Macaca fascicularis: one gene and its partner. The protein of the gene in region 2 purifies or fractionates together with the protein of the main gene of each other region. This does not show direct contact. Links are inferred from orthologs where the notes say so. Each region holds a gene or a part of one and is shown on either strand. Other genes may lie near its edges.

Region 1 (4,251 bases), on a different chromosome or scaffold from region 2:
TATCATCTCCACATCCTATCATCTGTGTCTCTGCACATTCCTGCTCATCCTTCCATGACCAGCTCAGAAATGCCTCCTCCAGTAAGTCCTCCGTGATCACTCATGCTCCTAAGAGACCTGCATTCATTCCCCTGATTCAGAGATGGAAGTTTCAAGAGGGGAGGCTGGGGCCAGGCGTGGTGGCTCACACCTGTAATCCTTTGGGAGGCTGGGACAGGAGGATTACTTGAGGTCAGGAGTTTGAGACCAGCCTGGCCAACATGGTGAACGCTGTCTCTACTAAAAATACAAAAATCAGCCGGGCATGGTGGTGCGCGCCTGTAGTCCCAGCTACTAGGGAAGCTGAGGTGGGAGGATCACTTAAACCGAGGAGACAGTGGTTGCAGTCAGCCAAGATCGCACCACTGCACTCCAGCCTGGGTGACAAAGCAAGACCCTGTTTAAAAAAAAAAAAAAAAAAACGGCCGGGCACAGAGCCAGTAGCTCATGCCTGTAATCCCAGCACTTTGGGAGGCCTAGGCGGGCGGATCACGAGGTCAAGAGTTCAAGACAAGCCTAACCAACATGGTAAAACCCTGTCTCTACTAAAAATACAAAAATTAGCCTGGTATGGTGGCACAGAACTGTAATCCCAGCTACTCAGGAGGCTGAGGCAGGAGAATCACTTGAACCCGGGAGGTGGAGGTTGCAGTGAACCGGGATTGTGCCACTGCACTGCAGCCTGGGTGACAGAGCGAGACTCCGTCTCAAGAAAAAAATAAATAAATAAATAAAATAAAGAAGGGTAGTTGTTTTCTTGGGCTGCACAGACAGCAGTGGTCAAGGCTAAGACTTGAATTTGAGTCTGCCTGGGTGTAGGGAAGGTTACCACCCTTGTCCCCCTCCTCGTGGGGAGTGAGGGGCGTCACTCACTAGTGGCAGACTTTTCTCCATGTCGTCAAACTCTTCCATGCAGACAATGGTCAGGAAGGCTAGATCCATGTCAAGCATATCCAACAGGCAGGCCTGGGGTTTGGAGAGGGGACAGGAGAGGGCATGAAGAGGGCCCAGGGTACCCTGACACCCTCTCGTAATAATCACCAGTACCCACCCAGGAGATAGGGAATAAAGATGTGATTAAATGGGAGCACACGAGGCAGAAGACAAAGCTGGTATCCTCATATTTACCTCCTGTACATCGGACGGTTTTCCCCCACCCCGGTGTGGGGCCCTGGGGATGCTCACCTCCACCTTGTTGAGTTTGCACTCCTCTTCTCCATGCTGGCACTTGAACTCCCATCTGCCGCTGACATTTTGTTCCTACAAGGCAGCAGGGTGAGAGCTGGCTGGCAGGCTGGGTCCCCTGCTCCCCTGCCCACGTGCCTCAGTTTCCCCAGCGCCCATGCACCTGTGCATTTCCGTAGGGCACCAGCGTGACATTGAGGATCTCCATGACCATCAGCCACGTTGGGAAAAGCTCTCGGACCAGGAAGGCGCGGCAGCCACCGCACAGTGCTTCATAGTAGAGGGTCACGTTGACAAGCGGTGCGTTGGACTTCTTGACAGGCCCCCGCAGGTATAGATTGCCCATCTGTGGATTAGGAAGGGGTGTGAGGCAGATGTAGCCCTGGGCAGTTCCCCACTTCTCTGAACCCCACTTGGTATTCTTGTAGAAAGGGGGCTGTCATAGGCAATTCATCTTGCACACCTTCCAGAACTTGCCAGGTGGAATCTTGACTTTGAGACTTTTTTTTTTTTTTTTTTTTGAGACAGCGTCTCTCTCTGTCGCCCAGGCTGGAGTGCACTGGCACCATCTTGGCTCACTGCAAGCTCCGCCTCCCGGGTTCACGCCATTGTCCTGCCTCAGCCTCCCAAGTAGCTGGGACTACAGTCCCGAGTAGCTGGGACTACAGGCGCCGGCCACTACACCCGGTTAATTTTTTTGTATTTTTAGTAGAGACGGGGTTTCACCGTATTAGCCTAGCCAGGATGGTCTCGATCCCCTGACCTCGTGATCCGCCCGCCTCGGCCTCCCAAAGTGCTGGGATTACAGGTGTGAGCCATCGCCTCCGGCCTTGGCCCATGCCCATTTCTTGCCACTCCACCAGGAGACTTTGACTCTGAGCTGAGCAAGGAACCCACGTGAACCCTTTCCAAGTCCGACCAAACAGAGGCGGCACCTAATAGGTGCTGACTTCCGGCTTCAGCTGAGGGGTGGCGGGCGGCCCGTGTCGCTGGATCCCTGAGCAAGTCGCTCAGCTTCTAGGGCATTTGCCTAATAGGTCCCAGAGACACGCAAGCCCTGCCCTGGCTGGAATGAATGCACCAGGGGTAGCAGCAAGAACGCATGCCGGTGGCCCTCGGCCAGCTGCTGAACTTGTGCCCTGGACCATAAAAGGAGACCCCAGCTCCTGCCCCAAAAGTACACAATAGGCGCTCAATGAACCCTTGGGCGGGACGAGGCGGTGGAAGCAACTGCGCGTCTCAGATGCGGGATGCGAAAGCGAAACGGCACGGAGGGACTCTGGCCGCAGTGCCGGGAAATGAACGGGGTTTTTCCAGTCGGGGCCCTGGTCTTCCCCTGTGAAGTCTGGGGAGAAAGAAGGAGCCGCCTGCCCCGACAGGGCGCCTGTCCCCTCCAGTCTGCCCGCCCTGTCGCCGTCCCTACCTTGTAGTTAACTGGCGGCCCATTCCCAAAGATGTCTAACGTTTGCAGAGGGGACGCCTGCACCGCTGCCGTGGGGTCGTCCAGCAGCAGCAGCAGCGGTGGCAGGAACAGCAGAAGTGGCGACAGGGACATCGCTGCGGGGCAAAAGTGTGGCGGCTGGGGCGGCTGCCTGGGAAATGAGCGCCTTTAACCAGGGGGTGGTCCCGCCCCTAACCCGGGCCTGCCTCCCGGTGCCCACGCCCCTGGGCCCCGAGCCAGCGTCCCTCCCTCCTCCACTCCTCCCTCTGGGTGTCCCACCCCCACCCCTGCCAGGTGCTGGGTCCCCAGTCACGAGGTCACTGGGCCCCTTGGCAATCAGCCCTGCCTAGGCATGTGAGCCCTGGCGCAAGAGGACCTTTAGGGGAGGTGAGGTGGGGCCTTTGAGATAGATACAAAGAGGCTGAGAGGAATGGTGGTGTGTCCATGCACTCCTAGACTTTCTGGGGGCGGCTAGGGGACTTGAGGCCTGGGACCCACTCTCAGAGTGGGCCTGTGATCTAACGGGGTGACGTCGGATGGAGGCTGGGGATGGGATGGAGGCTGGGGTGTTGGGGGAGTAACAAATGTTCAGCCCCCTGAGAGTGGGCAAGCCCTGTGTGGCCAGGTTCCCTCCCTCCAGCCTGGCCCGTGACCTCCCTCACGCCCAACCCCCACGTCCTGCCCCTTGATCCTTCCCCCTCAAGCTCCCGACCCCGATGCTCCAGACCCGGCTCCGTGGTCCCGTGGGACTGACTCAGGCTTGACCACAGCCATGCCAGAAAGCAGAAGCTGGCACAGGGGAGCGGCATGTCATTTCTCTAGGGTGCCCCCCCTCCAGTCCCACTTCCGACTTGGGGTGAAGAGAACTGGCCTTCCTTCTTTTCACCATCTAAGGCTTGTGGAGGGTGGGGGGCAACCTGGCCTTCAAGGGGCACCCATGGGGGAAAGCGGGGGCCTGTGCTGTCTGGGATAGGGGTGGGACGGCTTGGAGTCCGTCTGGCTTTGGATTTGAGTGACGGAGCCTTAGCTTTCCCTTCTGTGTAATGGGGAGAAGGATAAGGTTTGGGGAACAAGAGTCACCATGGAGGGCTCAGAGGCAGGTGGGGGGAGAGTTGTCCCAGGTTGGGGCTTCCGGGTGGCATGGTCAGGCCTTGGTGCCTACACAGGACAGTGGCCCCAGCAGTGAAGGCAGAGAGAATAGCCTGGAAAAAAGGCCCAGATGGAGGTTGGAGTGTTGGGGGAATAATTGAGACATTCAGACCCTGCAGGGCCTCACATTCAGGGCAAGACACACCGGATCCTAAGGAAGAAAATGTCCCAAAGACGGCTGGAAGATATAGCTGAGTCCCCAGCTGTGCCCCCTTCTAGCTGTGTGGGAGACCCCGACCACGCACACAGCAGCTGGTTTGGGAGCCGGAGTTTCCCTGAAGTCCCGGGGGCTGGATGGTCCCCAAGCCCATCCCTCAGACAACCAAACCGTTGGCAAAGCCCTTTTCCTTCTCAAAGCCTCCCCAGGACTCACCGCCTCAAGTCTGGTGCTTACCCTATGCCGGGTGGGATTGAAGAAATAACCATAAATATAATCG
Region 2 (2,743 bases):
TTGTAGACACAGCTATGTCTAGTTTTAATTTTATTCATCAGAACTTCTTTTCTCGTTATAAACATTAATCATGTTTATCGTGGACAACTTGCTTGAAACAAAAATGAACTGAAAATGTAAGAAAGGCGTGAAGGTCTTTTTGCTGTAGGTTTTCTCTTCCTCCTGGTGTCATCCCCTTCATTTTTGTGTAGAAGTAGCAGAGCTTCCTCTGTTCCCCATTGCCAAAACGAACAGAGTCAATTTGGTTTTTTGGTTCACCCAAGAAAAATCTAAGGGGCCTGTTTTATTTACAATGGGAAGAAATGTGAAAATTATCTGGGCTCTTTTCACTTTCCCACACCATTCCTAATTTTAGTAATAATCAGCATCTAAAAAACCCTGAGAGTTTGGGTGTAATGATTTTGTAGGTTTTGGCCTGGGTTGTCCTGCTATGTGGGATGACAACAGTAAAAACACAACAAATAAAAAGAAATCCTTTTGAATTAAAGATCAACAAAACGAATGCAACGAGCAACAGTTTATTTATAAAAAAAGAAAAAACAAACAACTTTTTAACGACATTTTATAGATTAAGTAAAAATACCAGTATTAATATATATGTATATACATAGTGCATATATATATATACATATGATATAACATTAACATTACATGCTTCTCAGGACAGAAGAATTAGGACATGTTCCCTCATATCAATTTAAAACTCGATCACAATTTAAAATCATGGAAGAAAACTTGCTTCCTTTATTTTCTGCTTTTAGACTTCAAGTACAGGAAGTTATCAAACCAGGATCTAAATGTGGAAACCATCTGCTATGCACCAATTACAAGGGACTGCCACCCACAAATGATGAGTCAGGGGTCTTCTGAATTCTTACATAGGTCTCTGTAACCCTACAACCGTGTCAACCTTCTACCTGAGATGAGAGGGAATGAGGAAGCGTGACAGTTTGTAGGTTTCATGTGGACATTCACATTGACATTGGAACAAAAGCAAACTGAAAAATGTCTTCCGAGAGCAACAACACTGATCATGAAATCACCCTGGAGGAGGATTCCTTTCTCCCCTTTCCTTGCCAAACAAAACACAGAAACTGTCAGAAAACAAACACAAAACAAAACTCAGGGTGAAGCACCTCTGGCGATGATTAGCATACAGCAAGGGACAGAGAGGTAGCGTTTCCTTGGTGACAGCTCCTGGCTGACTCTGATGATTTCAAACACACCCTCTTCTGCAAAAGGCACTCACATATTGTCTGTTTGTAAGTCATACAGTGGGATTCCATACATGGGAGTTTCTCCTACAAATATAAAAGAGATAAGCTGAGGAAATGGTATAACAAAGAAAAGCGTATAAGAAATACACATTTGGGATAAATATGCACTTTTCTTTTTTAAAGGACAATCAATATAGTAGTTTAAAAAAAGTCACTGAAAAGTTAGGAATTCCAGCAAAATTATCAGTAAGAAGCAAGGTACTGGAGGATGAGAGATGGAGTCCGAAACACTGAGAGGAGGTACACTAGCTTTTTGAGTGGCCAAAGTAAAAGATTTGCTCTGCTCTGAAACTACAATGACCATCCACAGACAATGGAATGAGAGGGGGAGGGAGGTAGCGGCAGAGAAACAGGCTTTCTCTGGTCAAGCCGGAGGGAGGAGTGGCATCCCCCTGGCTATGGGCACAGGAAGAAACACCCTCAGCATCTCCAAAGGAAAGGATGGGCTACACCACCCCCTTGCTTCTGCAGTCCAAACAGACCCTGCCCAAGCCAGAGGCTGTCCTCACCGGGACACAACAGAGCTAATGGAATTGTAAGAGGTGCCGCTGTTGCAGCTCGAGGCATAGGCCTCCTGGCCATTGCCATCCAGGTTGATTTTGAACACAGAAGACGCCTTCAGCAAAAAGTCTGCAGCATCCCGGCGACCCAGCTCCCTCAGTTTGGACATGAGGGTGCCCACCGTGCTCTCAGGGTAGGAGGTCCACTCCCGCAGCAGGGCGTGGAGGGGGCTGGGGAGGAAATCCTTGGGCGCCCCGTTATTGGTGTTGTACTTTGCCACGAGGTCAGGGAGGCCCAAGTTCATGGCGAGAAGGCACCAGTCCTTCCCCAGGGGGTCAGGCGGGTCCAGCAGGCGACTCAGTTTCCTCCGAGTGAGGAGGTTCAGGTCTGACGCGTGGATGTCCATGCCAAGGCTGGCCTGCGAGTAGACATCGTGACACCCGAAGCACATGATGCTGCTGAAGCTTTCCTTGTATCCCCCCATGGTGTTGGTCAGTGAGGTTTCCTTCAGAGTCTGTGCCCGGAAGAAGTCCCGTGGCTGGTAGATCATGACAGGCTCGTGGTGCTCCCGCAGCTGCTGGGGGCTCAGGTAATGCTTCACAGTCAGGAGTCCCGGCAGCGTGGTGGCCATGACGTTCTCAATGGTGCTGCACACCGAGTCCAGCAGCAGGCAGCACTTGATCTTTTCTGTCTCCAGGCCGCGGACCTGGACCTCAATGCCCTGGCCGTGGTTGACCAGCAGCACCAGCAGCTCGGCCCCACGGTTAGCCAGCTTGCAGCCATTCACCCACAGGCGGATGTCCGCATCGCCCTCCGTGCTTTGCTGGTGGATCCACCGGCACAGGTTCACCTGGACCTTGTGAAAGATGCCACATGGGAAGGGGGTGAGGTGCTCCACTGGCACGATGCGCACGCCGCCATATACCATCACCTCGTCCTCCTCATCGGCCCAGGAGCGGTGCAGG

Evidence for each region. The genes of interacting proteins can lie anywhere in the genome.
Region 1: the proteins of DAPK1 (region 2) and IFI30 purify together in Homo sapiens (affinity purification with mass spectrometry; 3 studies listed by BioGRID and IntAct, counting the BioPlex papers as one, with this or other methods). This does not show direct contact. The link is inferred for Macaca fascicularis from reciprocal best matches to the Homo sapiens genes DAPK1 and IFI30.

What each region holds. Positions count from the first base shown.
Region 1 is NC_088393.1:18,526,342-18,530,592, reverse strand, and holds the start of IFI30 (gamma-interferon-inducible lysosomal thiol reductase), read right to left. Parts: upstream 2,809-4,251; 5' UTR 2,780-2,808; coding exon 2,648-2,779; intron 1,571-2,647; coding exon 1,388-1,570; intron 1,300-1,387; coding exon 1,225-1,299; intron 1,006-1,224; coding exon 913-1,005; intron 1-912. UniProt on the Homo sapiens protein: Lysosomal thiol reductase that can reduce protein disulfide bonds. May facilitate the complete unfolding of proteins destined for lysosomal degradation. Plays an important role in antigen processing.
Region 2 is NC_088389.1:118,134,632-118,137,374, reverse strand, and holds the end of DAPK1 (death-associated protein kinase 1), read right to left. Parts: coding exon 1,787-2,743; intron 1,302-1,786; coding exon 1,268-1,301; 3' UTR 503-1,267; downstream 1-502. UniProt on the Homo sapiens protein: Calcium/calmodulin-dependent serine/threonine kinase involved in multiple cellular signaling pathways that trigger cell survival, apoptosis, and autophagy.